2 linked regions of the Arabidopsis thaliana genome follow. The protein of the gene in region 1 purifies or fractionates together with the protein of each later gene. This does not show direct contact. Each region holds a gene or a part of one and is shown on either strand. Other genes may lie near its edges.

Region 1 (15,027 bases):
GGCTTAATTACTAAACTAAGCAATTTTGCAAGATTATCATTAGTACGAGTTTTTGGGCCGGTTATGCTGTTAAAGTTTGGGTGGTCTGTGAATTCGTTTATTGTAATTTAAAGTGTGCGTTTTAAGTTGCAAACGTCGACCTTAGTGATATCGTAAGATGTAAAGACTTTCGTTGTGAATGGTGGTATCATTATTTAGACGTTGTTAAACTTTTCTAAAGGTAATGTTACGCACATTTGGAATCTTAGGGATTTAATCTGGTGATTGGTCGTTTAATTTTATGCTTATCCCAATTAATAGCATTGGACAATTAAGGCCTTTGTAAATTTGGGCCTTTAATTTTGGGCCTCAACTATCGGTGTATGCACATACTACTATTTTTCTTAACCCTCGGTCCTCCACTCCTCCTAAGACACTTTTGCTAATCAAAATAGTTTTTGTTGAGTTCACTACTTTAATCTACGAAAATCTAGTGACCCAGGGGCTAGGTTAAATTGGAGACTCGTACGATACTCGTGAGATAATTAGTAATGGTTAGCATCTATGAAGTATACAGTAAGAGATTCGGATTAGTGACTTAGTGTTATTGGTGATTGTCATCCTGATCACAATGATTGGAACAAGATTTGGTGTTTGACTAATATGGATTTTCTATAGATACGTCTCTGCTTTTTATATTCAATGCAACTGTTAAGCGATAATGACTTCTGAAAATTACAAGAATATAAATCATCAATACGATTACGAAATTAATCCGAGTGTACCAATATTCTTATATAAGTCTTAGTTTTTTTTTGGACCTCTGTTTTTTCTTGTCCTTATGTTGTGGAGTGAATATGACTGTTGTTGGTGGAATAATGAATTTGTACTGAGAAAGCAAATAAACAGTTACAGTTGCAGAGAAAAAGGTCAGTGAGAGTTTAGATTTGCTTTGATGCCTTTAAAATCTCTCTTTTTCCGCTTAAGCTTTTCCTATTTTCTGACTTCTGTAGTACTGTACCCGTTTTTTTTTTTTTTTGTTTCTTTGGATTTTTAACTTTTCACATTTGTTTTTTGCATGTTTAGTTTTTTTTTGGTTAAATTTTTTACTACGTGAGTTATTGAGGTTTTCAGCAATAGGTGCCTCTAAATAATCCCATATTTTTAAAAAACAAGACTATATTTTTGGGGAAATAAAGTTAGCGTTTAATATTCAAATGAAAGCTCATTACTTAGTGTTATTTTAATTGTTCTTTCTAGTCAAACCGTTTTTTTGTTTGTTTTGTGTGTGTTCAAAAGGATATTTAACTGTTAACCATTATAAATGCGGAAGTACCCCCTACACTCTTTTCCTTAACTCTCTCTTTAACTTTGCTGAATCCCATATTCGAGAAAACTCTCAAATCCATCAGTCTCCTAGCAAGATCAGAAGTCTAAGAATCTTCAGGCAAATGTCTCGACTGAGAAACTCGGCACAGTTGCAGCTATCGAAAAAGGAAAGTCTTGGAGACAACGGAGGCGCGTTGAACACCACGCGTTCCTCTAGACAGAAACAGGGGAAATACGGTTTCACGAGGAAGTGTGGGAGATTGGTGAAAGAACAAAGAGCTCGCTTTTACATCATGAGGAGATGCGTCGTTATGCTTATTTGCTGGACTGATCATAATAATAACAACTCTGACCACTCCTAAATCAACGTCAAAACCCTATCTTTCTCTTCTTTTTCTTGCTTCTGTTTTGAACTTTATTTTAAGAGTAGATTAGACACAAAATGTACATAAATGATTCTACTTCTGGTTGTAATTTAGATTTGAATGTTTGTGTTTGTGTTTGCTTTTGGTCATCACTCATCAGTTTCAGTGTATGCACTTGAACATGTAGAGGATAGAAAGCAATTAGTATAAAATGGTGAATTAGATTCGTTTTTCTTATTATTGTCTTACGCCGATATGTTCAGATCACGAGTTATGACTTAAATGTGTCAAGACTAGAGTAAAGATTATTAAAATATAATCAAAAGGGTTCAAATCTAAAAAAAATCAAATGTGATTAGGATTTTCGAACATCATTGAAGTCAATGGACAATTATGGTAACTTCGAAATGTTCTAAAAGAATAATGTTGTTATACTATAGTGGATTGAACATGCGAAGTATAAAAGATTATCTTTTTAAAGTAATACAATTCAAAGAATCTTCTTCTTTTTAGCCAGAAACAAAGATTAGCTTACATAAATATGAAGACACTTATTTTATACAATGGATTATGCTCTGGATTACGTAGTCCAACATTACATGAAATAGCTGCCTCTTAAATACTACAAGAAGAAATATTTTAAACAAGAACACATATTCAGATTTATAAAACCACTACGTAATATTTGGTCCCGCAATTTCCATTGTAATCACTATGACCAGATTAATTATTGTTCTTAATAGGCTAATAGCTACAATAAATAAATGATTAAATAAACAGAGCTGGTGCTAGAACGATGGAGTTTCTTTAAGAAAGAATGTCACTACTGCTAGAGTCCTCCCCATCGAGCTACTGCTGAAGAAGTGATGATATTTTATAGAAAATATGTTTCTAGATAGTTCTCATCAACTTATTTGTTTACATAGAGGTATTTTATTGTTTTTTTTTTCACTTACAAGTGCAAGGCAACTATCGCGTTCAATGATATTTTCCAGTAGCACAACAATTTTGGGATTCGCATTTGGGAGGCTAGATTGAAAAGAATGATTGGTACTTTAAACTATATGTTTTCGTCATCCGATTAAGTGATTTTTGGTTTAGCAGTTTCTTTAGAAGAGAATTATCTAGTTCGAGTCCACCTAGAGGACCCGGTATTCTTAAAAGGAATATATTAATTAAAGAATGATCCCATGTCTACAAAAATTAGGACTTAGATCTGAATTTCTCGAACTTTTTTAAAAAAACATGTGAATACCTTTTACATTTGTCATTTATACATGATACAATCGAAAAAATAAATTATGTAGGTGTATATTTGAGTGTGTTGGAATCTTTTCTCTTTGTTCCTTTGTACTACATTATTCGTGTTTTTCTAATCGTCGAGTTTCTCGATGTAGCTATTGTTTTACTTTTGATACTTAGCTTTGTGGTGACATTACGATTAATTAGTAGGTTTTCAAAAAATTTAGGTTTTTTAACGTTTGACCTTCAATGATCTCTTTTTTTTTTTTTAATTAAGAATCTTTCAATTATTCTGGCAATGATTATACAGATGAATTTTGGGTGTTCTATATATATATATGACCACTATCTCAACATATCTGCTCACATCAGTTTTTGAATTATGTACAACTACCATCCTAAATTATATTTTTGTTATTCATGTATATAGCACACCACATACAAGTTTGGGACTAATCAAGTTTGACAAGAAGGGTTTAAATATTCAAGTCATGTCGTTATTTATAGTCTACAAATTTTATGGATTATACCTACACCTCTCTATGAAGAAATTGGCTGCCTTTAAACATATAGAGATTCAAATGGGTCCGATTTAATTTTCCTATTAAAATTTTCAATATATGGTGGATGTTTGATCATTGCGACGGTGAATAACACTTTTTTCCTAAATTGTGTATACTTAAGAAAAGAGTAATGGCGGCATTGAACAATTATAAAAAAGATAGTATATAATAAGTATATTTCAATTCCACTATGTATAAAGAGACAAATTAAAATAGTTTAGTCACTGATTGGAAAACTAGACTTTATGAGCCATCCCCCACAAATCGGAAGGGATCTATGATAAATGATTATAAAAAAAAATTGATTGTTCATTAGCATGCTTGATTTTGATTTGTTTATCAGCTCTCTCTTCTTAGACAACAACACGCCGACGATATTCCGTTTTGACTTTCACTGTTAAATTGCACTTTGGGGACTCTTTTGTACTTTAAGTTCACTCCTAATTATTGGAGATTACAAATTTACAACTTATAATTTTTTAAAAAGTGACAACTGACGTGAGATTTGTTTAGTCTTAAGACAAAAATAAATAAATAAGAGAACGAGCAGCATATTGGCCAATAGAAATATAATGGGCCTAATGGGCTAACTTCTGTTGTTGCTCTTCAGTTAAATAGATAAGACCTCTTGAAAACATGATGGGCCTAATGGGCTACAAATATGAATTTTAGCACCGGTCCCTAGAGAACAATAACACGTGACGTCAAAAGCATCGGATTAGAGAAAGAAGAAGAAGAAGAAGAAGCCGATTCTAGGAAAAATCCGATACTCTTTGGACAGTCTATGGCCACCGATCTCTACGGCGATCTCTTTCCGGTTATCACTTCGTCACTACACATTTGCTTCTTCCGTTTTCGTATCGGATCGAATACTATTCATCTTTCTTCGAATCGGGTGAGTTCGAGAATCTAAAGCTTACACCTTTAGTTACGATTCGTCTGCTGTTTGATTTTGAATTCATATATTTGTTTATCTGCAGAACTATCCATTCACTCAATTTATAAGATTTTACTGATTTTGTGTTGGTGAGCTGAGATAATGATAAACTCACTCAGAAATGATTCTACACTTTAGTTGATGTAATTGTGTATGTGTTTATGAGTACTGAAACGTATCTGTTTATATTCCAGTTATCCAGTAATTGTTATTTTATATGAAAAGGTTTGTTTTTTATGTGAATTAGGTTTCTTTGAACCTTTGAAGCTATGGGTGATGCAATCGATTTGAGTGGAGATGGTGGCGTCTTGAAAAAGATTGTAAGGAGTGCCAAACCTGATGCTATTTCACCCTCTGATGATCTTCCTGTTGTCGATGGTATGTTCTTAAGATTGACTAGTGATCAGGGTCAATATATTGTTCATCTACTGCTTATGCTACTCCTAATTATATGTGTTGATGAAGGACCATAACCTTGTTTGATTTTAACTTAGTTCATTATGAGGGTATCTTGGCTGAAGACGAAAAGGTTTTCGACACTACTCGCGAAGACAATCTTGTTTTCTCCTTTGAGTTAGGAACAGGCAGTGTTATCCGTTCTTGGGACATTGCTCTTAAAACCATGAAGGTTTCTACAATTTTGAGTCTTTCTTCTATCCTTATAATCTGAACGCTTCAGTTATTATATACAACTGATTTGATTTTTTTTACAGGTTGGAGAAGTTGCAAAAATTACATGTAAGCCAGAATATGCTTACGGAAGAGCCGGGTCTCCTCCCGACATCCCACCTGAGTATGTTATGTTCCAAACTTCTTGCATCTCGTTCAAGGGAGTGTGACAGTTTTTTTTTTGTTTTTGTAATTGAGATTTTTGGTAATTGCAGTGCAACTTTGATTTTCGAGGTGGAATTGGTTGCTTGTAGACCGAGGAAAGGTGCTAGTGTTGGAAGTGTTTCTGAAGAGAGAGCCAGGCTAGAGTAAGTATTATAAATACCATTTGGACCTAACTTTTGACTTGTTATCATGTGTGTAAATATGAAAACTTTTTTGCTTCATGGTTGCAGAGATCTGAAGAAGCAGAGAGAGATTGCTGCAGCTGCGAAAGAGGATGATAAGAAAAAGAGAGAAGAAGCAAAAGCTGCTGCAGCTGCTAGGATTCAAGCTAAGCTAGACGCTAAGAAAGGTCCAGGCAAAGGAAAAGGCAAAGGCAAAGCTAAATAAGTCGAATGCAAAAGACCTGTCACTACTATTTCATGATGAATCTAAATCAAACTTTTGGAAAGGGAGAGTCATCAGTTACATCATATTGAGTTATTGACCATTACATGATTTGTTTGGGGTTTAATTCGCACGCACATTAATAACATAAACAAGTGTTCGAAACCAAACTTTTCAAACCATGTCGGAAGCATCATCATCAATCTCATCTTGTTCTTGCCATCCTGAATGAGCTCTAAATTTACAGACAGGACATGTTCCTTGCTGTCTCAACCATGGATCGATACATCCTGCATGAAACTGAGCAAACGGATATATGTCTGAGTCGTGACACAGTAAAGAGCTGGAAGATTTTCAGTTTAAGATAAAAGTAAAAATGGAAACCTGATGCAAACAAGGTAAGGTGCGAACGATTTCCCCTACGGTAACTTGTTCTAGGCAAACACTACATGTGAGCTCATCTTCTGTTCCTTTTTTACTTTCATTGGCAGAATCTAGCATCTTCTGCTTTGAATAAGAGGAAAACGACATGAAAAATTAAGACATTGTTAGCCACTTAGCAAGAACTTTTTACCGAGCATATGAGTATTGACCAGTTCAAATGTGATTTTTGTATATCGGCTATTTTTTGTGTGTGGGGTGGGGGGAAATGTAAATATGTCATATACCTCAGCTGAGGATGAGGTTGACGCTTGCTTTGCCAAAGAGCAACCACTGTCAACAAAAGCGAACGCAAGACAAAAACCATGAATACAGATTCATTCACAATAATTAGAAAGAAAACAAAAAGGCGTTGAGCTATGAAAACTGAGAAAAGTTTCACTCAGTAACAAATTTTAAATGTTCATTCCACAATAAAACTAGCGCCTGACGATTAACCAAAGAAGTGATGGGATCAACGGAACTCATGATTTTAGAAGATTCTATTGAAAAACAAATCTTTAGTAACTCAATGGACAATCAATACCTTACATGTTCCGTTTAGCAAAGCAAACAATAAACCTAAGTACAATATCAGTTTCTAACTTATTAAGTTGTATATTCTACCACCCCACCTTCCCCTGTTAAGGAAGTTAAGGTCTATACAAGTTGCTATATCACATCATCCTAACTTACTATTTTCTTAATTCCTCAATGTTTCCACATTTGAAAGCATTTTAAACTGTTAAAAGAGAAACAAGGTACAATATTGACTCACTTTTCAGGATCCAACACCTTGTACTTGTGAACTGGAAGTGCATTTATCTCTTCCTCGCTCATAGAAGTTGTGGAAACATTATCAGAATCAAGTGCTCTTAAAGTTTCATAATCTGTTGCAGCAGAACAACTTTTGTCTCAGACTTCAACCATAGAAAGCAAACTACTAAACTATAGACTAATAAAAAGGAACAAGCGGATGATACTGACCTAAGTCATCAAATTCCCGATCAAGAAGAGCCAGCTGGAGCCTAAGTCCCTGAAGACGCCCTCTCGTAGCAAGAGCAATGGAAGGAGGCACATGCAACCTCAGCTCAGTATGGCTAAAGAGGCCACTTGCTGCTGCAGCCTGAGCCTGAGCATGAGCTTGAAGTTGTTGGCAAGTAGCATACATCCTAAGCGTCGTTGCCATCAAAAACACCCCAAGCACAAGCCACAGCTACAAAATTAATGGAAATGTCAAACTCACACCCGAAAGACGACTAACTCAAAAGGAAAAAACTTTAACTCACGTATTTAATCATACCAGGAAATTAGGAGGCATCTGATGCGAATTGAGAATCATAAACAGCAAAAGAACTGAAATACACAAACCAAACACAAGTATTAACAACATCACAACTGAAGATAACATAGAAGGTGAAAGTTTGAATTTACCTGTAACCAGAAAAGCGAGGGAATTAGAATTAACTGGTCGAGCTCCATGAACACGCTGATACCAAAAGACACTTGCAATAAGTATCATTCTAACAAAAACCATTGTATATGTTTTCAAGAAAGCATACCATAGCTCGTCTTTCGGGTAGAAAACCACCCGAGAATCCGCTTTCTAAATCTCCTCTACTTCCCCGGAAAACAAAGCTCATGTCTTCCAAATTCACAAGAGAGCCTGCAAAAGAAAACAATTGCCACTGAATCTATATTTGGTTCTATCAAATTAATTCAAAACTCTATAAACTAGAATTCGAGAAACCATGTTGATCACAGCAATAAAGGAGAGGCATTTAAACCCTATGCTGATCCAAACAAAACAATAACACGAATCTTTTCACATAAGCCAAGAGATTGAAAATGAGAAGGTTTCATTCATGGATCAAAAAAATTGAACGGAGCTAGAGATCGGAGGAGAAATTCACCTGAAAGTAGGAGAAATCTCTACGGAGAAGAGTCGGATTTACTCACTTAACATAGGCGTGGTGACGACGGAGTCACGAAAATCGCTTGTCGGACCGAGTCGACTCGGACCGAGTTATCGCTAACCTGAGGATATAGTTTTTGTCTTCATTAACACAGACCATTAACTTCATATGGTTTAACTGTTGCTGACGCACTAGCTTAAAAACGTCGTCGTTTTGATGTTGCCACTTATTACTTTCTCTCCTACTCTCATGACTTTATGTTATGATGCAATAATTTCACCACAAGAATCTGACTTAACGTTGGATATGTTTCAAATCGAAATTAGATAAATATGGAAAATTCACAAATTAACCATCCAAATTAGATAAAAGGGACTTCTCCTTTTATTTTTATTTTATAAAGATTTATAGTAATTCCTATCCGTATATTATTTAATTTAATAATGTATTAAAGATATATATATATATATAATTTTTTTTTTTTTTTTTATAAAGATATTACTATATCCCATAATGAAAAACCAATATATAAAGAAGTTCAATGGAACGTAGGTTTCCAAAATCCAAACCGTCTCACAAGTCACAACTTCCGCCTCTTTCCTCTCTCTCTCTCTCTTCCGGTGATTCCTTTAGCCTATAGATCAGCGGTTGATCTCAACAGAGAGATAAGTTTGTTTTTAAGAGATTTTGATATCTAGCTAGGGTTTACTTTGGATATTTCTTCGTCTCCCCTAGGGCATAATTACTGGTGCAGATATGGATTCCATGATCAAAGATGTTGATCCTTCCGTATTGTTAGCCAATGGCTTTATTCAATCCCACTTCACGAACTTAAATACTTCCGAAGCATTAGCCAATTGCTTTCTCCAATCTTACTTCCTGAATCTAGGAGTCTATCCCGAGGTAGTTCAGATGATGTGGTATGCCGACGACAGTGTTATGACTAGACCCGGTCCTGATGGTACAATGATGTCTTTTACATCGCCTGAGGTATTGTCATTAATCAGATCAAATCTTTCTCATGAGTTTCTGTTTTTAGTTTGATGTTCTGGTTGGGAGTAATTATATTTTATAACAATAATTCTTTTAGTTATATTTTTAACGTTTTCAAAACGTATAAACTTGAAAAAAGCTGTAAACGATTTATAAGGACAAACAATTTTTTGATGGTGCAGGCAATTCAGGAGCAAATCGTTTCATGCGACTATGAAGGTGCTTCGTTTGATGTGATGAGTTTTGCTGCTCAGAGTTGCAATACCAGTTCTGAAGATGGAGCATTTATCATGGTTACTGGTTTCTTGACTTGTAAAGACAAACAAGTGAGGAGGAGATTTGTTCAATCTTTGTATTTAGCTCGTCGTCAAGATAGGTCTTATGCCATTGTCAATGATTTCCTCCGCTATATCGATTCAATACCAGCATTACCTTCTGTTCCTGAATCCGGTAAACAGCTGTATAAATTGTGTTTGATATTCAATTTTAGAATAGTAAGTGTTTAGCTTCATGAGATTACAAAACTTACTAACTTAGTTTTGGTGTGACTATATATATAAGCAGATTTTGCAGCTGGATTTGTCAAGGTTTACTACGAGTTGCCTATGCGTGAGGAACTTGGTTTGATGTATGTCAATGAAAGTATTATGAGCAGACCGACTTCGACTTCTGGTAGAACAATGGTCGAGATGCCTGGCCTCGATGTAAGTTGCAAAAGTTCCTAATTCCAATGTATTTCTAGAGAAATTTTAGTGGAATAAATCTAAGGGGTTAGTTTTTTGGTGCAGGCAATCAACAAGAGGGTCTCAAATGAGCATAAGAGGGCTTCTAATTTTATATTGAATAGTGTGGATTATCAGATCAGCAGATCCTTTAAAGATAGAATGTTTATCATGGTTTGCGGTTTCGTGACTCTAGACGACAAAACAGAGAGAAAGTTCTTGCAATTTTTCTATGTGACACGTTGTCACAATGGGTCTTATGTCATCTACAATGACATCCTCCGTTATGTTGATGTTACCCCTCGAGACACACTTGAAAGCTCGAGCCAGTCCGCTGCAAAACCTAGTACTGATGTCGAGCTTCCTTACTTCATGGTTAAGAAGGGGAAGCTACTCTCTTATTTTAACAACATAGACACGCAAAATTACCCCCACTAATAGTTTATGCTAGTGTTGTTCTTTTTTTAAATGCATTTAATTTTGTTCCTTTATGTCCTTTTTTTATATACAAAACCTTATTCGTCTATGTTCTTTTTATTTGAGCTTTATAAATTTCTTTTTTTCTCATAGAAGAATCCTTGTTCTCTGTTCCGAGATATTTGTTCTATGAGACTATGACTGAAAAATGATTTATCTCTATTTCGTGTTGTAATCTTGAACTTATGCAATGAATTGTTCAAAATCAGGTTACGCTAACCACAAGATTTGAGACCAACGATCAACTCAAAATATTAAGCAACAGCATATGATAAAAATATTTTACATTTTAACATTCAGATTACTTGTTTTCATGGTGAAATATTATGCTTGAAACGTTACTAAAACATGGTTAAAAGAACCAATTATCTTGGATCAGTTCTTGTTTTACCGGAGAAGGAAAATATCGACGAAGTAGTAGTTTCATTCGGTCCGCTATAAAACCTAGCTGAATCCACAAAATCTTCAAACTCGCCTGCACTACCGCTGCGCTCATCAAGACACATACTATCATTTGCATCTAGAAAATCCGGTGCAGGAACAACTTCAGGCGACGGAAACTGCTTTTCGAGATACATAACTACTTGTCTCATTGTAGGTCGAACCTCGGGTGAATTATTTGAGCATAGAAGCCCTAATTTGATCACCATAACCACTTCCTCTTCGTCAAACTCACCGTTCAATCTCCTGTCCACAACATCTCTAATGTCTCCGCTTTGCCACCTTGACCAAACCCAATCAACCATTACAAGCTCCTCTGGTAACGCACTTGTTTCGATAGGTCTTCTTCCGCAAGCTACTTCCAATAAAACCGCTCCAAACGCATAAACATCGGTGCTTGTTGTCAGTTTTCCGGATTTTGTGAGTTCTGGTGCTAAGTACCCAAATGTGCCAACCACTCTTGTAGCCCCCGGATCCGATCCATGCTCATATAACTTAGCAAGACCGAAATCTCCTACCCGTCCGTTCATTTCGCTGTCCAACAAAACGTTTGCAGCTTTAATATCGCGGTGAATAACCGTTTGTTCCCATCCTTCGTGTAGGTAGAGTAAACCGGAAGCAACCCCTTTTATGATTTTGAATCTTTGCTTCCAAGTCAAGATAACTTCAGGGTTTTCGTCGAACAAGTACATGTCTAAGCTTCCATTAGGCATGAAATCATAGACAAGAAGCAAATCATCCCGCCTTCGACACCAACCGAGCAACTGAACAAGATTCCTATGCCGGAGGTGACCAATGCTTGAGACCTCAGACATAAATTCTCGTACACCTTGTCTTGACTCATGAGAGATTCTCTTGACGGCTACAAATTCGTCTGAACCCGGGAGCTTTCCTTTGTATACTTTACCAAACCCGCCAGACCCGAGAAGCTCTTTGTCCCCAAAACCATTAGTAGCTTTCTTGAGCTCTCTGTAAGAAAATCTATGCGGACCAAAATCAAGCTCCCATTCTTCAACTCTGTCTTCATCTTTCACCTTTCTTACCACGAACAACGATGCAGCGACAAGAACCGCGAAGATCAAAAGGGAACACAAGAGAGATACTCCAAGAATCAAACTCTGTCTCTTCTTCTTCCTCTTCTTGATTGAACTAGGAATCCGAGGAAGAGATGGCAAAGACAGAGAAAATGCTTCTCCACTCATGTTAAAGTTCCAACCTAAGATGTAATGTGAACTAGCTAGCAAACCGGTGGAAGCAGAGAATCCAACATACATTTCATCTCCCAAAACAGAGGATAGGTCAACATCGTAAGAGAGAAGAGACAACTTTGGTTTCTCTGAGAATGGAGAAAGTTTAACATCTAACCTTTTCTTGTTTGAATCGTAATCAATCCAAGCTTGAATCACTCTACCACCATCAAGGAAAAGCTCCTTTTTGGTTGAGTTAGCGAGGAAATAGCCAGCAGGAGTCGAAATACTCGATTCCATACTGTTTATATCGATTCCTACATGGTTATCATTAATGTCCTCAAACTCCAAATCCCTGACAGTATCGAATTCCACAGCGAAGAAGTGGCTAGAGAAGTTAACTCTGCTTGAATTCAACAGGCCTAAGTACTGGCTAGGAAGAGAACCTCTGAGATCTGGAGTTGGAGTGATGGCGAAGGCAAGTCCGTGGCCACCAAGAGTAACAAACTCTGGAACCATGGCGATTGCAAAAGACGTGGAGAAAGACAGAGCTCGGTTTACACCGATTGGCTTGAACCGTATTGGTAAGGAGTAGAAAGCGTGACCAATCACGCGCTGTGTCTCTGTTGTGAGCCTGATTGCTCCAGTGGGGGCGATCTCTGCAACTCCGTTTAACGTTAAATTTGGTGAGGCTTTTTTGAAGCCAATGAAGGAGAAGTCTTGAATTAGAGATGAAACTAAGTGTGTTAAGAAGATGAGTAGTAACAAGATGACAGCAAAGGTTTGAGACATCAAGAATTGTTTTCTTGGGAGAGAAGTAAAAAGAGTAAGGGCTACTTAGGTACTAGGGTTATAGTTCTAATATATGATCTATTTGGAGGATAGGTCAAGAAGATGGTGAGGATACGAAAGCATGTGATACTGTTTATAATGTTGGTGATACAGGAACATGTTATTATTTCTAGACTGATGATACTTTATGATATCTAATATTTAAACAGAGAATTCAAATCTACCATTAAACTACGATTATACGAGGTTAGTACGTACCATAATTATAGGTTCTGGGTGTTGTTAATATCAATTGAGATCGTCGGTATTGATTAGTTTAATAGATAAGAAAGTACGTATAACTGTATAAGTAGTAATCAAACGATCTACCAGTTTCCACTTATAATTCTTTTTTTTCTTCCGACGGATACAACTGTATTACTAGAGGTTATCGGGGGTTGATCATGTTTCATAATTTAATTTTTCTTAACGGTATAAATGATAATTTTCGCACTAAAATTTGTTAACTAAATCAAAACTCCAAATAATCTATCTTCTTTTACATCTTTGGATTGATAAGATCCGATCGATATTCAATCTTATGGTGACTATATTTGTTTTTTAAAAATATATTTGTTTTCAATAAAAATAAATTACCCTACACAGGTTAAAATCTAGTTAGTGTTGTAAATACATAATTTTGTTGGGTAACTCCAAAAGCATTACAGTCTGGACACAATTTTAGTAATGTGGTTCAGCACCAATGACGATATCTTGGAATAAGTACTATACTAAAACCAATAACTTTATATATTTTCACCATTCGATAAATATTCATCAATTAGATATGCTAAGTAGCTAAAGTATCGTCATGACTCAAGTTTTTATACAGATGTAGTATTGATTGTGTAAATGATCCACTTGACATTGAAAATTATTGGATTGGAACAAATTATCATTCAGAAACGATAAGTAAGAAGAATATTCTTGGATAGGAAGAAAAAGTCAATTAATCAATCAACTAAGACACTGGAAAAACAAAAAAGAAATGAGATAAGTCTATGTTTTGGATTGATGATTGACGGCCAAACTAAGGATAAAAGTCCTTCGAGAAAAAGGGTTGTTGGAAAAAATGGTTAAAAGATAATAAAAGCTGAAGAAAATGGATTACGATTTCCGTTGATTGTGGTTGATATTGAAATGTAAATAGTAGGATGATGAAATAACGAATATTATATACTAGGAACATGCTTAAGTAAAAAATTTAGTGAATAATCACAAAATTCGAAACTTTTCTATATTTCATAACTCTTCATTAAGCACATAGTGGAGAATTATGTCGGTCGAAATTGGCTCAGTAAACTCCTCATTGTGCCGGCCAACTTAGAAGCTGAATCCGTACCAAAAGATCTAAACCTAATTTAACCACATTATTTTATAATCAAACAAAATAAATCAATCTGAACCAAGAAATTAGATATCCTCTCCTATTAGCAACTCGAGCACTCGGTTTTGAATATTTTGTATACAAGAAGTACAGATATATAGTTACACTTAAACCTTAAATCCGAATTAGTTCTTAGTTTTCATATCAATAAGACAATAACCACTATTCCACTAATAACGAAAATGTACCAGAGAAATACAAATTCAGATGAGCGAAATTTTCTAAATTTACTGTTTTGAGTTCAAAACAATTAAATTCGAAACCGGGACAAGGACAACAATTTTTCACAAATATCACCTTATTATGTCACAAAAGTAGCGGTGAACAGAAAAACAAATTTGTACTTAGCCGTTGACATACAAAATTGCTACGGAGTTTAGTCATCATGGGACCATATATTCCGTACTCATGTTTTTTTGATATACCATAAAAGGGATATTTAAGACCAGAGACAATGCCAAAGATCCAAACATTTTGGGAAAAACACAGTTTTGATAAATCATGCTTTTTGGGACCAAAGAAATCAACTTTGTTGAAATTCCTCAGCTAACAAACAATGCTCACTAGAAGAGTAAAACAACAAACACATGTCAATGAGAAAGCTTCTCTACAAGTCTCTTTTAAGCACATAAAACCTCATCAACATTAATCCTCCACAAAGCTAAAATCCGGTTTTGTATTGCTCTATTCTTATGTCATAAGGACTAAGATTCAAAATGCAGCATAAATAAACTTTCTATTAGCAAAATATAAAGTTTCGCTACAAGTCTCTAAGTACATAAACGATAAACAACATTATTCGCCCGCAAAGCTAGAATCCAGTGTTGTACTCTAATCTTATGTCAAAAGCACTAAAGATTCAAAATGCAGAATATTTAAACTATCTTCCTGCATATCTCCTTAATGCATACAAGCTCAAGAAGAACAAAGTAATAGAGCCAAATACAAAAAGCTAATCTAATCTAATCAGCCTCAACAAGTAAGAGTATGAAGACTGAAGAGTAAAGATCTAAGAAAGGT
Region 2 (16,280 bases), on another chromosome or scaffold:
CAAACTCGATTAAAGATTCAAGCTTTACCAATGATGCTAAATTACTTCAGACAGAACAAAAACCCTAAACTTCTAAACCCAAAAGCAATTCATACTAAAATCACAACTGACGTTGGAGAGAGAGATTTACTCGTTCGAAAGGAGTCTCAGTTTCAGAGAGAGACGACGAAAGTGTCGAGAGTTCGATACGAACGCCGCACACTACAATTGCAATTCCGCACATATCTCCGCCGGCGTCTGTTTCTGGTCTCCGTTTCCGTCAAAGTTGTTGTCATGAAAGTTACTTAAAGCCTGTTTAACAAGTAATAAACATTCTTCTAAAATGATTCTATAAAATGAACAAATTGCCTCCGTAGCATAGTGGTATTGCGTTCGCTTCGTAAGCGAAAGGTCGTGAGTTCGATCCTCACCGTAGGCTTTTTTTAAATTCAATTTTTTTATATGGGCTTATCAAATTGGCATTTTATGGACTTTATGTTTTTCAAGTTGGCCCAATCTATACCATAACAGCGAAAAACATGTTAAACATTCGACTAAAATAAAAAAAAGCTAGAAACTAATAAAGACACACATAATTTTACATTTTTAGCAAAGAAAACAAAATATTTCTTTATATATATATACATTAACTTGAAAACCTGGCCTTTGTATATATTTACAACGAAATGTAATTTTTATTAATTCTTAAAATTTTTAAAATTAAATAAAATACATTAACTAAACGATTTTTATTCTAATTTATCTCTTTATACCTACATTTGTCCATTTGCTAATTACTATTTAAAATATATGTATTTTGTATTAATTATTAATATAATCTCAATTGTATTAAACGAATGCCAACAATATACTCAAATTTTTCTTTCTAAATTTCTAATTATTAACTGTGATAACAGTATATAAGAATCTTTCGCTATTCGTCTTGGTTGACGAAGAGGTGAGAAAAGAACACTTTAAGATTTGCTATTTAACCAGAACGAACTTATATAATTTGATAATTAACCCACTCTATTTTTCGGTATTTATTTTAGGGTAAAAAGATCCATGCGTCGATAATCAAAACATAAAAAACTACTTATCGTAAACAATATTATATATAAATATACATTAAAAAATAAATTGTATTTTTTTTTATAGCTATATGATCATCACATTTTTAACATTACATTTTTAAATAACATATAGACCTATTATGTACCTTGGAGCATATCCTAGTATATACATATTTTGTGTGTATTTGTATTCAAATTTACAATATATAAAATTTATTTTTTGAATCTAATAAGAAAAATACGGTGTTAAACTAGAACTTAAGATACATTCCTTGTACAAAAAAAATTATGTCTAAAATATTTATATATCATCGCATTCGCCGAGTTATTTGTAAAAAGAATTTTGACATGCCTAAAGAGATATAGATGGAACTGGTAATCCAAAACATCAAAAATTCTTTATCGATTCAATCAAAGCCTATTGTCTCGAGAACTCCTTCATCGAGACTTACTTCTAACGGCTCAGAAATCTGCAAGAGCTAGACATGGTCATATATAGTTAAATCTGATCCAGTTGAGTTGAATTTGTGTTTGTTTTACTTTTTCTCAACTGAAATTTTCAAATTTTCAATTTCAGAGCGATTGATTTTTTTGTTGATCTTATTTTAGAGGATGTTGAGAGAGAACACTTGGACTTAGCCATGTAGCAAATAATCATACTCCTCCGATTATTCAATGATTTGTCTACCGATCTTTTTTAAAAGTATCATAAGCTGCTTACTATGATTAGTTGTGTTATTCTAGCTAATACATTTTCTAAAGAGTTACATTTATGACATGGTGCCAGATCTTTTTTGATTTGGTGGTGTATATATTGATGAATACACGAAGGAAAAAATATTCACAGTCAATGGCAGGACCACAACCAATTCGCAAAGATTGGTTGAGCTACGTAAAGGAGGCATTAATTTGGTTGAGCTGGATCCTCATGGAAAAGTGAATAAGAGATTTGTTTGATTGATATTGGATTTATATGAACTTGGTTTATCCGTTCTCTTGCCTATCTCGATAACAGTTGACCCTTTTGTTTGAAGAAAGGAGCAAGATTGATTGGGAGCCTATCTCGCCTTGGGTCCACAAGGTACTTGAATAGCTAACAGATGATTGTGATGATATGATATTGTCATTATATCAAAAATCTTTCTTCTAGAGAATAACTTGTTCTGAACAAAATTTTGTCTAGACAATTTTAAATAACAAACTTATTTATCCATTTCTCCTTCTCTAAAGCAGACAATTTTTTCAAATCATTTATCACACTAATATTATTTACAAAAAAAATAAAGGAAAAAGAATAAGGGTTAAAATTCTACAACATTCAAAAATATAAAAAATGTGAACTTTCTAACATGATAATTAAAATTGTTCTTTAGTTTTTATTTATTAATATTTTGCCTATTTTTAAATATGAAAAGTTAAAATTATTTAAATTAAGTAAAAACATGAATTTTCTTTTTCAAGCTCAAAATAATTTAAACAAGCCGACAAAAAAGAAAAGGTTTGCTTACTACACATACATAGTTATCTTTTTGTAGTAAGTAGTAGAGCTATCAAGCGGGGCCATCAGACTTTGCTTTAATTTGATAGGCCTAGTAAGTAATGTCATAACTTTGTTTTTTGTGGTCAAGTTTAATATTTCCTCTATTCATAAAAGAACGATGTTTGAAATTTTTTCGCACAAATTAAGAAAACTAATTTTGATATTATTTTATTATTATTAATTTAATAATATTAGCTCTAATTCTCTCTTTTCTCTATTAAGGATTAATAAAAATAAAATAATATTAATTTAGAACATCAAATTTTGTGGAACAATAATAAAACCAAAACATCAAAGTCCATAGAACAGAGAAAATATTTCATTTAGGGCGAGACGTTCGGGCTTTGCTTCAAATTGACAAGCCTAGTAAGTAGTGTCATAACTTTGTTTTTTGTGCTCATGTTTAATATTTCATTTGATCTGAATTGTATTAATTTATTTTTATTTACAGCTTAAATCTTAATAGGAATATTAAAAAAAATACCGAATGAGTACTCGTGGCAATATAAGCTTATGGTAGTTTGTTTTGGACAGACAACAAATTCTATTGTCAGCCGCTTGAACCTTTTGATAGCTAAACCAAATTTCTACAACCATTTTGGGCCTCGATTTCTTTGTTGGGTTGTGGGCCTTGCGGCCTTTTTGTTTTATTTGTTTTAAATATCTACAACCATCTTGTTAGGCGGTCTCAGTCCATTATATTGTAAACCATTTAAAAATATCAAATAAAATGTATTTTGACAATAAATTAAATAATAACAAATACCACAAAATGAAAAGGCATAAAAATCAAACAAAAATGGTATATAAACAATTTTAAGGTCATCTCAACGTGACACCAAAACAACCAAATTTAGTGTCAAAATCTCTCCAACAAGACTGTATAATTAACACTAAGTATACAAATGTTAGACCGAGTAATTAGCTGTTAAACAGAAACGCTAACCTAATCTTTCTCTCTCTCCCTCTCAGACTGCGAATCCGAGAAAAGCAGCTTTGATCTATATCATCTGTTTCTTCGATATTTTTGGTTCAAATCATCATCATTTTTCACTATAAGTTCTTCTGTCTTGAAACGATTATGAGATCGCAGATTCTTTAACTCCTTGTTTGAATGTCTAAGCTAATTTGACGAACAGTAATATATGTCTCTCTAACTTTATGTAGAATTTAGTTTATGAACGTTAAATCATCATTATTCTTTTTAAGAGTCATAGATTCACATATCGTCCTTGATAAAGAGATTAAAGATTATTTTTTAAAATTGTTGTTCCTCATTTTATTTTGTATTTTTCTAGTTGTTAACTTTTTAATATGTGTTGTTCTTCATTTGATTATGTAATTTTGTCCTTGATTATGTGTTTGTCTAATATAATTGTTTGTTCTTTTAATTCTCAGATGGCTTCTAATTCATTAGAAAACAACAATGATGGCATTCTTAGTGAAGAGATTGATGGAGAAGATGGTCCACATACCTCTTTTGTTGGAGAAAAAATAACAAAATCTCAGATATCAAGTTCGATTATTTCAACAAAACCGAGGAAAAAACCCAGCTCATAGAGCATCTGTGTGGAAGCATTTTATTTAAAAGGAAGACAATATATCTGTAAGCAACTGTCGATACTGTGGCACAGAGATATAGTGTGACATAGTCAAAACTTGAACAAGTGCAATGACCAATCACATCAGATGGTTCAAGTTATCCAAGGTGTATGAAGAAAGTGATAGTCAAAAAGTTTTAGCTCGAGATAACAGTGGTGTAATGATAACAATCAAGTATGATAAAGGGTTGTTTAGAAGATCTGTGAATGAGATGATAATGCTTAATGAGTTACCTTTTTCATTTGTGGAATTTGAAAGGTTTAGGAGATTTTGTGCCAACAATCTCTCATGTACATGGTTCATTGTAGGAAGACATCCACTTCAGATTGTTATGGAATGTTTTTCCAAGAGAAAAATTCTTTGAAGAAGTTGTTTGATAAGGATAAACAGAGAGTGTCATTGGTAACAGATATTGGGTAGCTACCACAACTTCTTGTAGTTACATGGTGGTGACAGCTTACTAGATTGATAAATATTGGAAATTACAGAAATGGATCATTAGCTTCAAGCATGTCATTGATCACAAATGATATATCATTGCATCACTTTTGATTGGCTGTCTAGATGAATTGGGCATCAAGAAAGTCTTCACAATGAGTGTAGATAAATGCAAAGGGAAATGGCAAAGCTTTACGGTTATTCACAGAGGATTTGATGGTGAGAGTTCTAGATGCATTAGTTCAAAGTGGTGAGTATATTCATATGCGTTGGTGCGCTCATATTTTAAACCTGATAGTCAAAGATGGGATATGTAAAGCTAATCATAATATAATGGCTATCCAAAATGCAATCAAGTATGTGAGGTCATCGAGTGAAAGACTCAAATCTTTAAATCTAGGGTTGAGGCATGAAATGTAAGTAAATAAAACTTATGTCTAGATGTTGTTACTAGGTGGAATTCGACTTATCTTATGCTCACAGTTGCAATCACGTTTAGAGGTGCATTTGATAAGATGTTGGCTGAAGATAAGTTATAGAAAAGAATGAAGATGATGATGCTGATGATGATAATGATGGCAAACATGTTGGTCCTCCATCTTCTGCTAGTTAGCTGGGATGAAGTGCAAATGTTAGTTAAGTTTCTGAAAATCTTTTTTAATTGCATTCTTTCCTCTTCAACATTTAAATAAGTGACATCCTCTATTTGGTATAATCTAATGATGATGGTTATGAGATGATGGACTCTTTGTACACTAAGATGGTAGCAGAGACTACAAATATAGAATCTAGTAAGGAACTTGACATTTACCTGCTTGAAAAATATGTGCTAAGAATTACAAGTGGTTTGAGATTGGATTATGATGTCTTAAGATGGTGGAGGAGGAATAGTTCTAAATTGCAATCTTTGCAGAATTAACAAGAGATGTGCTTGTCATACATGTCTCCTTTCTCAATTTAGAGTCTGCATTCAACACTAGTGGTCGTATTTTGGATCCTTTCTGAAGTTGCTTGTCACCACTCATGGTTGAATCATTGATTTGCATTCAGCAATGGCTCATGAATATCATTAGTTGAGAAGTTAGCAAACCTGATTCAGATGTTCGAAGAATTAAAGTTTTATGAGTCTTTAAGTACTCATTTTCTCTCTATCTTTCAGTTTTTTTTTGTTGTTATTTTTATATCTATAGACTCAACTACATTTTATTTGCCTTGTGTAGCTTCTGAGAGTACTCATACACAATCATTAGTTGCTCATTGACGTGGAGTTGAAAATTGAGGTATATTTGATATATTTTTTTGTCATTCATTTACCTGTGAGAGCCTTTTCTTTTAATCAGTAATATATTTTTATTTTCTTTCACAACAGACAAGGTGACAAATGCATTAAGATTTTTAAGCGGCTTAAAGGCTTGTCTTTTCTCTTTATTTATTTTGTATAACTAACTCTTTCTCTTTTGGCATCGACAAAACAATGACAACATACCAAATGGACCTGTAAGAACTTAGGCAGAATGGATCATTGGTAGTTTGTCATTTGTGTCAAGTTACATGTTTTTTGGAACAACTTATGTATCTTTTGTATATATCACGATGATTAAGGTTCGCTACTAAGTTGTTGTTGTATTAATAATTGATGCGTCTTTTTGTTTGGTTGATTTTACATTCGTTTAGTGATCAGACCAAAAAAACTGAATAAACCATGTTTGAACTGAACCAAAGCGAATTATTAATCGGTTCGTTTTAGAAAAAGTTCATTTTCCAAAAAAAACAAAAATCAAGTAACGGAAACAGAATTAACTTTTTCGGATCAAAATTGCATGCCTATAAAATTTTATGTTATTAATCCAAATCCATCCAATCATTTTTTTTCGTTTTTGAAACCGATAAATTATTTGTTATTGTTTGTGAACAATATTCAAAAGTCCCAAATCAATAAAAAGAAGAAAAAAACTAATTATGATTTGGAAATAAAAAAAGAATTAATCAAATCAAATTAAAATCCTCACTAAATTGTAAACATGGTGTACATAATATGATTACGTGACAAAATATTATTGAAAAGATATCCAAAAAATTGCAAAAAAAAAAGAATAAGAAAAAAGGCCAAAACCAAATTCTCAATTCTGGTCGGAGTTTGTCTTTATAAAAAAATCTTAGAAGCCATATATATTTTCTGTTTATATATTTTGTACAACAAACTCTTTCTCTTTTAGCGTCTACAAAATAGTGACAACATACCAAATACACTTATAAGAACTGAGGCAAAATGGATTATTGGTACTTTGTCATTTGTCAAGTGACATGTTCTTTTAGAACAACTTATGTATTTTTTGTATCATGAATCATGATGATTAAGGTTTGCTACCGAGTTGTTTTTGTATTCATAATTTATGCGTCATTGTTGTTAACTTGTTGTTTGGTTGATTAGTGATCAGACCAAAAAAATTGAATAAACCATGTTCGAACTGAACAAAGCGAATTATTAGTCAATTCGTTTTAGGAAATGCTTTATTTTCCAAAAACCCCGAAAAATCAAGTAACCAAAACCAAATTAACCGTTCGAATCAAAATCAAAGACCTATAAAATTCTATGATATTAGTCCAAAACTAAATCCAAATCCATCCAATCATCTTGTTCTTTTTCCGAAACCAAAATAATATTTGTTATTATTTATGAACAATATTCAAAAATCCCAAACCAATAATAATAATAATAAAAAAAAACTAATTAGGATTTGGAAATTAGAAGAACAACTAATCAAATCAAATAAAAATCCTCACTAAATTGTAAACAGGATATGATTACGTGACAAAATATTATTGAAAAAATATCCAAAAAGTTGCAAAAAAAACAAAAAAAAAGCATAAGCAAAAAAAAAGAGAGGCCAAAACCAAATTCCCAATTCTGGTCGGAGTTTGTCTGTAAAAAAAACCCTAGAAGCCATATATAAACACCACAAGTAAACTCGTTTCTTCACCTTCCTTCTCTCCTTCACTCTAATTGCGATTGATTCTCCTGTCTTCTCCAATTTATCAGGTAATTGCTTCTGCTTCATACTTCATACCTTATTTTCCAATCTCTCAATCCATCTTTGTATTGGAGCAAAGTTTATACCTTTCAATTTCTCAAACTCGACTAGTTATAGATCTATGGAAGTTCAGTTCAAACCTTACATATATAATATCTGGAGAAACCAACTATGTGTACTTGCAATTACAATAAGCTAATAGATTTCGTACTATAAAGTTAGATCCACATAGTACAATTCTAAGTTATGCAGATTGGAGCTCTTGTGAATTTTTGTTTGATTCGATTTTGCTTGAGACTGTCTTAGAGAAATTGCAGAGATGACACCTGAATCAAACGCTCCCTCAGTAGATCCACAATTTGTAGGCAATGGGTTTGTTCAAGAATACTATAACCACCTTTATGATTCAACCTCGGAAGTACACAAATTCTATCTCGAGGATAGTATGATTTCACGGCCTGGTCTCGATGGTGAGATAGTTACTATCAAATCCTTGAAAGTAAGTTCCTTTAGCCACTTTCATAGTATGTCTCATTGAATTATTGTTGTTAGTATTGATTCGACGAATGTTTCATCGTGTTTGCAGGGGATTAATGATCAGATAATGTCCATTGACTACAAAAGCTCAAGGATCGAGATTCTAACTGCTGATTCTCAATCAACTTTAAAGAATGGTGTTGTAACTCTAGTCACGGGTTTAGTGATCGGGAACGATGGAGGAAGGAGGAAATTTTCTCAGAGTTTCTTTCTTGTGTCGCGGAATGGAAGCTACTTTGTGCTGAATGATACCTTTAGGTATGTGTCTGATGAGTTTGTTGAACCAGAAGCTACCAAGGAGGTTGAGGAGAGTCAGTCAACAAATGCTATCACTGGTAAGTCGTTTTACCAATGGTTTCAAGAATCTGAAAATATTCACCACCTTGACATTGTTTTGATTCATGTGGTAATGGTTTTGATTAGCAGAGCCTGCAAATGAAAGTGTAGAGGCGGTTATTGTCCCTACTGAAGCTAAAACTACGGTGACGAAGCCAGCAAGTGCCATACCAAACGGACATGCGAAAGTCCCTGAGGAGAAAGTTGTGAATGAAAACAGTAGCTTACCTAAAGCTGCTGAAGCAAAACTTCAAGAGGAGGTTCCCAAGAAATCGTTTGCATTAATTGTAAGTCTCCTCCTTTGTGCTTAGTTTTTATCGTATAATATCCTCTAATCTGTTGGTGTGATTTCAAACTTACAGGTTCAATCTCTGGCTCAAAGCGCTGGTACTTTACAGGTTAAAGCCTCGCCGGTCAAGCGTAAACCTGTCGAAAAACCGGTTGCTGCTCCGGAGCGCAAAGCTCCTTCCCCAATTCGTAAACAGGCTTCTGCTGAAAGCATTAAACCACAAGGTTGGTTATTCATTGTTTAATAGTTAAAAACAATGAATTTGAAAATTCTTCTACTTGCTTTTGTCTCATTTGATTATTTGTTTTTCACGTATCAGCTCAGGGTAGTTCCATATTTGTTGCAAACTTGCCTATGGATGCGACTATTGAGCAACTTTATGAAACATTTAAAAGTTTTGGAGCTATTAGAAAGGATGGTATCCAAGTCAGAAGTTACCCGGTTAGTTATTCTTTCAATGATCTACAAAAAAATTATTTGCAAAGTTTGAAAAACCTTATAACTGGTTCAATCACACGCTTAAAAATCTGTGAATTTTCAGGAAAAAAAGAACTGTATTGGGTTTGTGGCATTCGAAAATGGTGAAGCAGTAAAAAATGTCTTTCAGGTATGTTTTTGTTTGCATATCAAACTCTCGGCTATAATGTAATTTGAAGTTCTTGTTATCTGATCTCCAAATGCACAACTCTAGGCTCACAGGGAATCACCAATCAGAATCGGAAACCGAAGAGCATCTATAGAAGAAAAGCGAGGCAAGTTTCTGAAAGGCATTGTTGTCTCAAAGATTGTAACTTTAATTAAATGTAAAAACAAAATCCTAATCTTACTTTTTCTGGATTATGCAGGAGGTAACAATCAAAATGGCAACAGAGTCTCTACAAGAAACAACAGTGGTTATAAAAATGAGGATGGTTTCAGACGTGATGGATACAAACCTAGGGGCAGTGGCGTCAATGGAGGACGAGGCTATGGGAGACGGAACAGTGAGTCTAATGGGGATGGTAAAGCATACCAGAACAATGGCCATGGCAATACTGAGGCCAAAAACTAGATTAGTTTTTTCTTCTTCTAAGCTTTGCTCATGGTTGAGAATCTGAGGTTGTAGGCGATGTTAAAACAAATTTTTGTTTCCGTGGATATCTTAGGTGTTGATCTTTTCGATTTGTGATATTGTTTGGGGATAAATCTAGAACATTTTTCTTCACTCTTTGATCTCTGTATCTTCTCATGAACAAAGCAGAGAACAAAATCGAATTGATTTAAGGTTCTAATGACCTACATACTTTCTTTACAGGAGATAAACTCCACAACTTTTGTTTTTGTCTAATCAAACATCAAAACAGAATCAAGAACAAGAAGAACAACACCACGGACATTGAGGAAAACATGAGAAGCACCTACACATTGACTGCTTCTGATTTGTTGCATCTGCTACTGGTTTTTGTGACTCTTGTGACTGATTTGCTTGTTCCTTCTGTTTCTCCGTTTCTACCTTTCTTGAATCACTTGCAGCTCCAGCCAAACTGTAAAAACCAAAAAAGCAAAGCAAGAAACTTTCATTAAAACCGAGGGGAGGAAATGTTTGTCAGCCATGGTCATGGATGGAGTGTATTTACATTGGGAAAGAGAAGGAGTGCGCGCTGTTTGAGCTTCGGTTAGAACGGTAAGAAGTTGTAGGAGTTTTCCAAGAAACAGCAGGATGTTGTTCTTTCTCATGGCTTTCTCTTTTCCCTTCTTCTTCATCTGATGATGATGTATGTGTTTCTTCTACTAGTACAACTTTCTCTTCCTTATCTGATTCAACAACTTTCGGTTCTTCGACTACGGGTTTTGGTTCCGATCCTGGTACAGGCGGCATAGGAAGTCCAGGACTATACGCAAGTAACTCACCGGATTTATAAAGTTCACCTGATTTCATCAAATCACCACCATAACCAGTGAAACTATTGTTTCCTAAATGAATACTGAAGAGAGATTCATTCGAAGTGCAGCTCCATTCAGCTGGCACATTCGATTTGCTTCTCTCGAAAACCGAAGATGGAATCCTATTCGGGTCATATTTTCCGTTGTTATCTCTATCCATTACTTGAACAGGTGGTGAAGAAATCTCCGGATCATTCAATGATTCTTTTAGTACCTCTTCAGGTAGATCTTTCGGTGGCGATAAATACGAAGAAGAAGAAGACGAAGATGACGAAGACGACGATAATCTTGAATGTGATTCTGAGTTAATAATTACAGTTTCTGTTTCTTGTAAAGGTATCGTTTTATGCTCAACATCTCCATTTTCGTCGTCTAATGAACCTTTTTTGTTTACATCTTGATCATGTTTTTGTTTGGATAACACATGTTCTTCATGTTTAGACTCCATAAACACCTGGAGAAGCAATCATCAATGCATCATTTTAAGCAATTTCTCGGGCTATTCGAACAAATATAACATCAAAAAACATACCTTGAAATCGATTTGACCAGAGCCTGATGAGTGAAGTTGTGAAATTTCGTTTCTTTTTCTTGCTAGAGAGAATGAAGGAAGAAAGAAAAAAATTAAGATGAGGAAAAGGGGATCTAGGGTTTGGTTCGTTGTCTGGAGATAAACAGAACGAAAGGTATCTCGTAAAGTTCGGAACTTTAACTAACAAAACCATGGCTGCATTTCGCGCCATGTCTTCTTATCTGTTCTGTTTTATAAATGATCCTCTGTGTTACGGTCTATTTAAGAAACCGTGTTCTATCCAATAGATAAACGCCTTGACTTTTAACACGTGGCTTCAGATACTAGAACAAAAAAAAAAGCATCATTGTTCATCTTCTTCCTCTTCTGTTTACTGTTTGGGGAAAGTGAAAGCTTGTAAACGAAAGGTAACGTTTTTATGGAATCTAGGGTTTGTATTTCCCTTTACTGTAACATGGTCTTTGAAAGTTTCTTCCTTTTTAGGATTCTTTGCTTTTTTCGGGTATGTATTTGGAATTGGATATGGATACTGTAGACCTAATTGATCGGTGTGATTTGTATTGGATAGTTTTAACGGATCGAATTCTTAGAATTAAGATACTGAATCTGAGAATTGGATCTTCTTTAACTGCAAATTTTGTGACTTTTCTTCGTTTTAGTGTCTTAAGAACTTAAACACGAAGTTATTCTTGATAATTTGATGCAGCTTCCACCATTTAGAAAAGTATTGTCTTTTGTTCTGTGAATTTCTCAGGTTCGTTGGTTCTTCAAGAGAGATCATATGAAGAAATTGAATTTGAGTTTCATGTCAAATTTTGTTGTTTTCAGGTTGTAAACTGTGGCCAAAGGTTTACTTGGACTCCTTCTGTTTCACTGGAAACTGTTCATTTGAATGGTGAGAGTTTGATTCTGATGCATTAGTAAATTGTAAGGAAGAGAGGATTGAGCAAACATGGGAGAACAACTAGATCCATTTTCCGCTTCTAATCTTCCGGATTTCATATCTTCTCAAAAAATTGGTAGACCGGTTAATTTCGAAGGACAAACTAACCGTGGGCATCCTTTTTCTGGTCTTAAGAAGAGAGGTCAATCTAGTCGTTCTTGGGTGAAAATTGATCAAGATGGGAACTCTGCGGTTTTGGAGCTCGACAAGGCGACTATAATGAAGCGTTGTTCCTTACCATCCAGGGATTTGAGACTCCTTGACCCTTTGTTTATCTATCCCTCGAGTATTTTGGGGCGTGAGAGAGCGATAGTTGTCAGTCTTGAGAAGATCAGGTGTATTATCACAGCTGAAGAGGTCATTCTCATGAATGCTCGAGATGCATCTGTTGTTCAGTACCAGTCGGAACTGTGTAAACGCCTTCAATCAAACCACAACCTAAATGTTAAAGGTCAGTGGTTTTGGTATAGCTTTGGTGGTCTGGAGTTATGATATAGATTAGATTGCTGATGAAACTGTTATATGTGTTTGGTTTTAGATGATTTGCCATTTGAATTTAAAGCGTTGGAGCTGGTTTTGGAACTATCTTGCTTGTCTTTAGATGCACAGGTATGCCACATTCTCTTCATCATTCTTCTATATGATTTATTGCATGACTTTAAGCTAATTGTTAAGCTCAAAAGTTTTGGTGAACGTGATTTTTAGGTGAATGAGCTTGAGATGGAGGTGTATCCCGTTCTTGATGAACTAGCCACAAACATCAGCACCCTTAATCTAGAACACGTGCGCAGGCTAAAAGGTCGTCTTCTTACCTTAACACAGAAAGTTCAGAAGGTGAACACAAAAGACTCTTCAAATTTGAAAAAGCCCTACTACCATAATTTGATTTTGGAGGTCAAAACTTGCAGGTTTGTGATGAAATAGAGCATTTAATGGATGATGATGATGACATGGCTGAGATGTATTTGACTGAGAAAAAAGAAAGAGCTGAAGCTCATGCGTCAGAGGAGCTAGAAGATAACATTGGTGAGGACTTTGAATCTTCTGGAATAGTTTCGAAGTCTGCGCCGGTTTCACCTGTGGGCTCAACAAGTGGAAACTTTGGGAAGCTTCAAAGAGCCTTTAGCAGCATTGTTGGCTCACATAAAAGCTTGTTAAGCTCCTCTAGCATCGGAGAGAACATTGATCAACTAGAGATGTTACTAGAAGCTTACTTTGTCGTTGTTGATAACACTCTGAGCAAATTATCATCGGTTAGATTCTTCTTAATCTTTCTTTTAAACTCAACTACATGTTGTTTCATCATTTTGATCATGTTCTTGTGTTTGCAGCTGAAAGAGTATATAGATGATACAGAGGATCTGATCAACATTAAGCTGGTAAGGACAGACAAAATCAAGTCTCGTAATCATGTTCTTGTTTCTCTTTGGGTCTCTGACTTTGTCCATGTTTTTGTAGGGGAATGTGCAGAATCAGTTGATTCAGTTTCAACTGCTTCTCACCGCGGCAACCTTTGTGGCAGCTATTTTTGCCGCTGTAACCGCTGTCTTCGGGATGAATTTGCAAGACTCTGTTTTCCAGAATCCGACGACTTTCCAGTATGTTTTACTGATAACAGGTATTGGATGCGGTTTTTTGTATTTTGGTTTTGTGTTATACTTCAAGCACAAGAAAGTATTCCCTCTCTGAAAACTTATGTTAGAGAAGAAGAAGAAGACGCATGTAGTAGCTTCTAATGTAAAGATGAACAACTAATGTCTTTTGCTGAGCTTAGGCTTAACCTCTATAGTGAAACAACTGGATGTGTTTAAGATTAATGATAAGAAATAAGTTTAAGAGAAAGAAAAGCAAAACACAGAAGACACCATCACATTCTATGTCGAAGCAAATTCAAACTAGTGAAAAAATAAGACAGAGAAGAAAATTGAACCGTCATCCTTAAACTTTGGAAGAACATGCATTAGTGAAACAAAGACTAAGCAAATCCTGGAAGAAACCATTGTTTTTGATCTATGTAAACACCGTATCTCTTAGGCCATGTTATTCTACTTGTGGCAAGATTGAAGATACCGCAATTTGAAGGACGATCAAAATCCGGCCAAAGATCATCTTCAACGAAACAGATTGAATCCCTCTTGATTCCATCACCAACATCATGAACTTGTGCTCTCATTGTAACCCCATGACCAAAGATCAACATCTCATTCATCATCTCCAATAGAATGCACTCTCTCCCATTTGCCACTTTCAAGATTCATCTTAAAGATGTAAAACAAAAGTTCCTCTTCATTAGTCTCCTTTTGTTTCCGTTTTTTTAAGCTCAGATTTTAAGAACCTCTCCTGATTCTGCAATCACTATTTTCCTCTTCCAAATGTATTCCTGCGGTTTCTCATCGAAGCGAAATGGATGATTCGAATACGGGTTTGTCAATCCTTCTTCTTTGGGAGAATCTCCAGAGAAATCATAAATCTTGATGTGATGATCCAAAGTATACAGATAAAGCTTGCTGTTCTTATAAGCCATATCGAAAATACTTCCACTGTTTTGATTCCACTTCGAATCATATCCTTTCTTGAGTGAGAACAAGTATTTCTGTTTGAAAAATTAATCCAAGCAACGAAATAATCCTTTGTTCTCTCGTTTATCCACAGAACAGCTGTTGTTTTGCATTCTTCGTTGTCGTCGTTAAAGAGTGTTCCCTACAGCCCTTTCGTCTAATAGATGGAATCTTGATCGTTTTGATCGTTAACAGGTTCAAAATATAGAAATCGAGACCAGAATCTACCAGTAGGAGACAATTCCCGGAGCTAGCCATACAATATCTTCCGTTCAAGCGACGACGGAGGACTCTTGTTTTGAAACTTTCGTCTTCTTTGTGATCAAACAACGTTAAGGTATGTGACCTGCCATGGACGCAGAGACTGACTCACGCATGTTTTCCAAACGGAATACCAATCTGAACAAACGGTTTTTGCTCGATGAAAATCAATAGAGCTCAAGCTTTCCAGGATCGGTCGCAAAAGATCAGGACAAAGCTTGGACCAATCTTGATTTTCAGAAGCTCCTTGTCTCTTCTCTTCTTTCACCAAATCGTTCGGCGTCTCCATGTCTGCGCTTACGTGCCTCACACTCTAGTTGACCTAATGTTTGGATTTAGGGTTAAGAACCACGGAAACCCTAATTAATGCGAGACGTATATATTTATACTGACGATATAACATCAAAACCCATCGATTAAAATTTAACCAATGATATATTTGAACATGTTGCTCACTTTACCTTCATACAAGAGTACCGTATCTTACAAGTTTATAAACCAAAGTTGTGAAGCTTTTAGTCTGTAGATGTTTCTGTGGAATGCATTTTTAGTCATTTTCGATGTCCCGATGAGGCCATCAGAACCGCGACTGCAGCTATGAACATAAATAGCATACTGATAAGAAGTGTATATGTTTTTCTTGATGATCTTTTGTATTCTCCAAACAGCAGTATCCCCCAAAATGTTTATTTTCAATCTTTAAATCATTGAACAGAAAAGAGGTCTTAAACCTGAACAGCTCCTGCAGCAGCATAACCAGCGGCTTGACCGCCCATAAACTGAAGACCATTACCAAATCCACAGAGAAATCCAGCCAAGAAAGACCAGCCTCGACCGTTCCAGTCATTTAGGTAAGCCTTGAAAGATGATCTTGGGAGACCAAGTATAGGCCAATAGAGAAATATGATGTTTAGTATCAGACCAACCCCAAATGAAGAGATGGAGAAGTAGAAGAAGGCTGTGTACACATTGAGTTTTGGAACTCCATGTTTCAAAGTGTGCCAACTCCATGTTTCAAAGTGTGCCATTGATCGTTTGTCGCTAAGCTTACTGCAGGTGAGATTAGAGAGAAACAGATACCGGCAAAGAATGTTATCGCCAGTCCAATTATTGTGCTTTTCCCAAAAACCTGTCAACGCAAATCTTGAGTATCAGTGAATATCAGTTATTTCTGTTTAGGAAAATGCTGTGTGTATTATTATTAACCTTTATGGCTCTTTGTTTCTCAACCTCAATA

What was found.
Region 2: the proteins of AT3G55540 (region 1) and AT2G03640 fractionate together in Arabidopsis thaliana (co-fractionation; one large-scale study listed by BioGRID). This does not show direct contact.

Annotation. Positions count from the first base shown.
Region 1 is NC_003074.8:20,589,493-20,604,519, forward strand, and holds AT3G55540 (nuclear transport factor 2 (NTF2) family protein), read left to right. Parts: upstream 1-8,725; coding exon 8,726-8,959; intron 8,960-9,144; coding exon 9,145-9,412; intron 9,413-9,535; coding exon 9,536-9,666; intron 9,667-9,750; coding exon 9,751-10,122; downstream 10,123-15,027. Other genes in the region: RTFL7 (ROTUNDIFOLIA like 7), read left to right, coding at 1,431-1,670; AT3G55520 (FKBP-like peptidyl-prolyl cis-trans isomerase family protein), read left to right, coding at 4,685-4,793, 4,910-5,043, 5,129-5,208, 5,300-5,392, 5,480-5,636; SDIR1 (RING/U-box superfamily protein), read right to left, coding at 5,808-5,933, 6,018-6,137, 6,302-6,347, 6,832-6,943, 7,041-7,269, 7,357-7,409, 7,488-7,542, 7,616-7,696; AT3G55550 (Concanavalin A-like lectin protein kinase family protein), read right to left, coding at 10,527-12,581.
Region 2 is NC_003071.7:1,098,122-1,114,401, reverse strand, and holds AT2G03640 (Nuclear transport factor 2 (NTF2) family protein with RNA binding (RRM-RBD-RNP motifs) domain-containing protein), read left to right. Parts: upstream 1-7,534; 5' UTR 7,535-7,672; exon of another isoform or gene 7,673-7,970; 5' UTR 7,971-7,983; coding exon 7,984-8,163; intron 8,164-8,250; coding exon 8,251-8,536; intron 8,537-8,624; coding exon of another isoform or gene 8,625-8,627; coding exon 8,628-8,824; intron 8,825-8,899; coding exon 8,900-9,050; intron 9,051-9,145; coding exon 9,146-9,267; intron 9,268-9,367; coding exon 9,368-9,433; intron 9,434-9,517; coding exon 9,518-9,877; 3' UTR 9,878-10,088; downstream 10,089-16,280. Other genes in the region: AT2G03667 (Asparagine synthase family protein), read right to left, coding at 131-223; AT2G03630 (suppressor SRP40-like protein), read right to left, coding at 10,172-10,349, 10,443-11,197; MGT3 (magnesium transporter 3), read left to right, coding at 12,234-12,675, 12,763-12,833, 12,930-13,058, 13,133-13,477, 13,556-13,603, 13,683-13,913; AT2G03610 (F-box family protein), read right to left, coding at 14,200-14,436, 14,560-14,796, 15,156-15,332; UPS3 (ureide permease 3), read right to left, coding at 15,769-16,158, 16,250-16,280.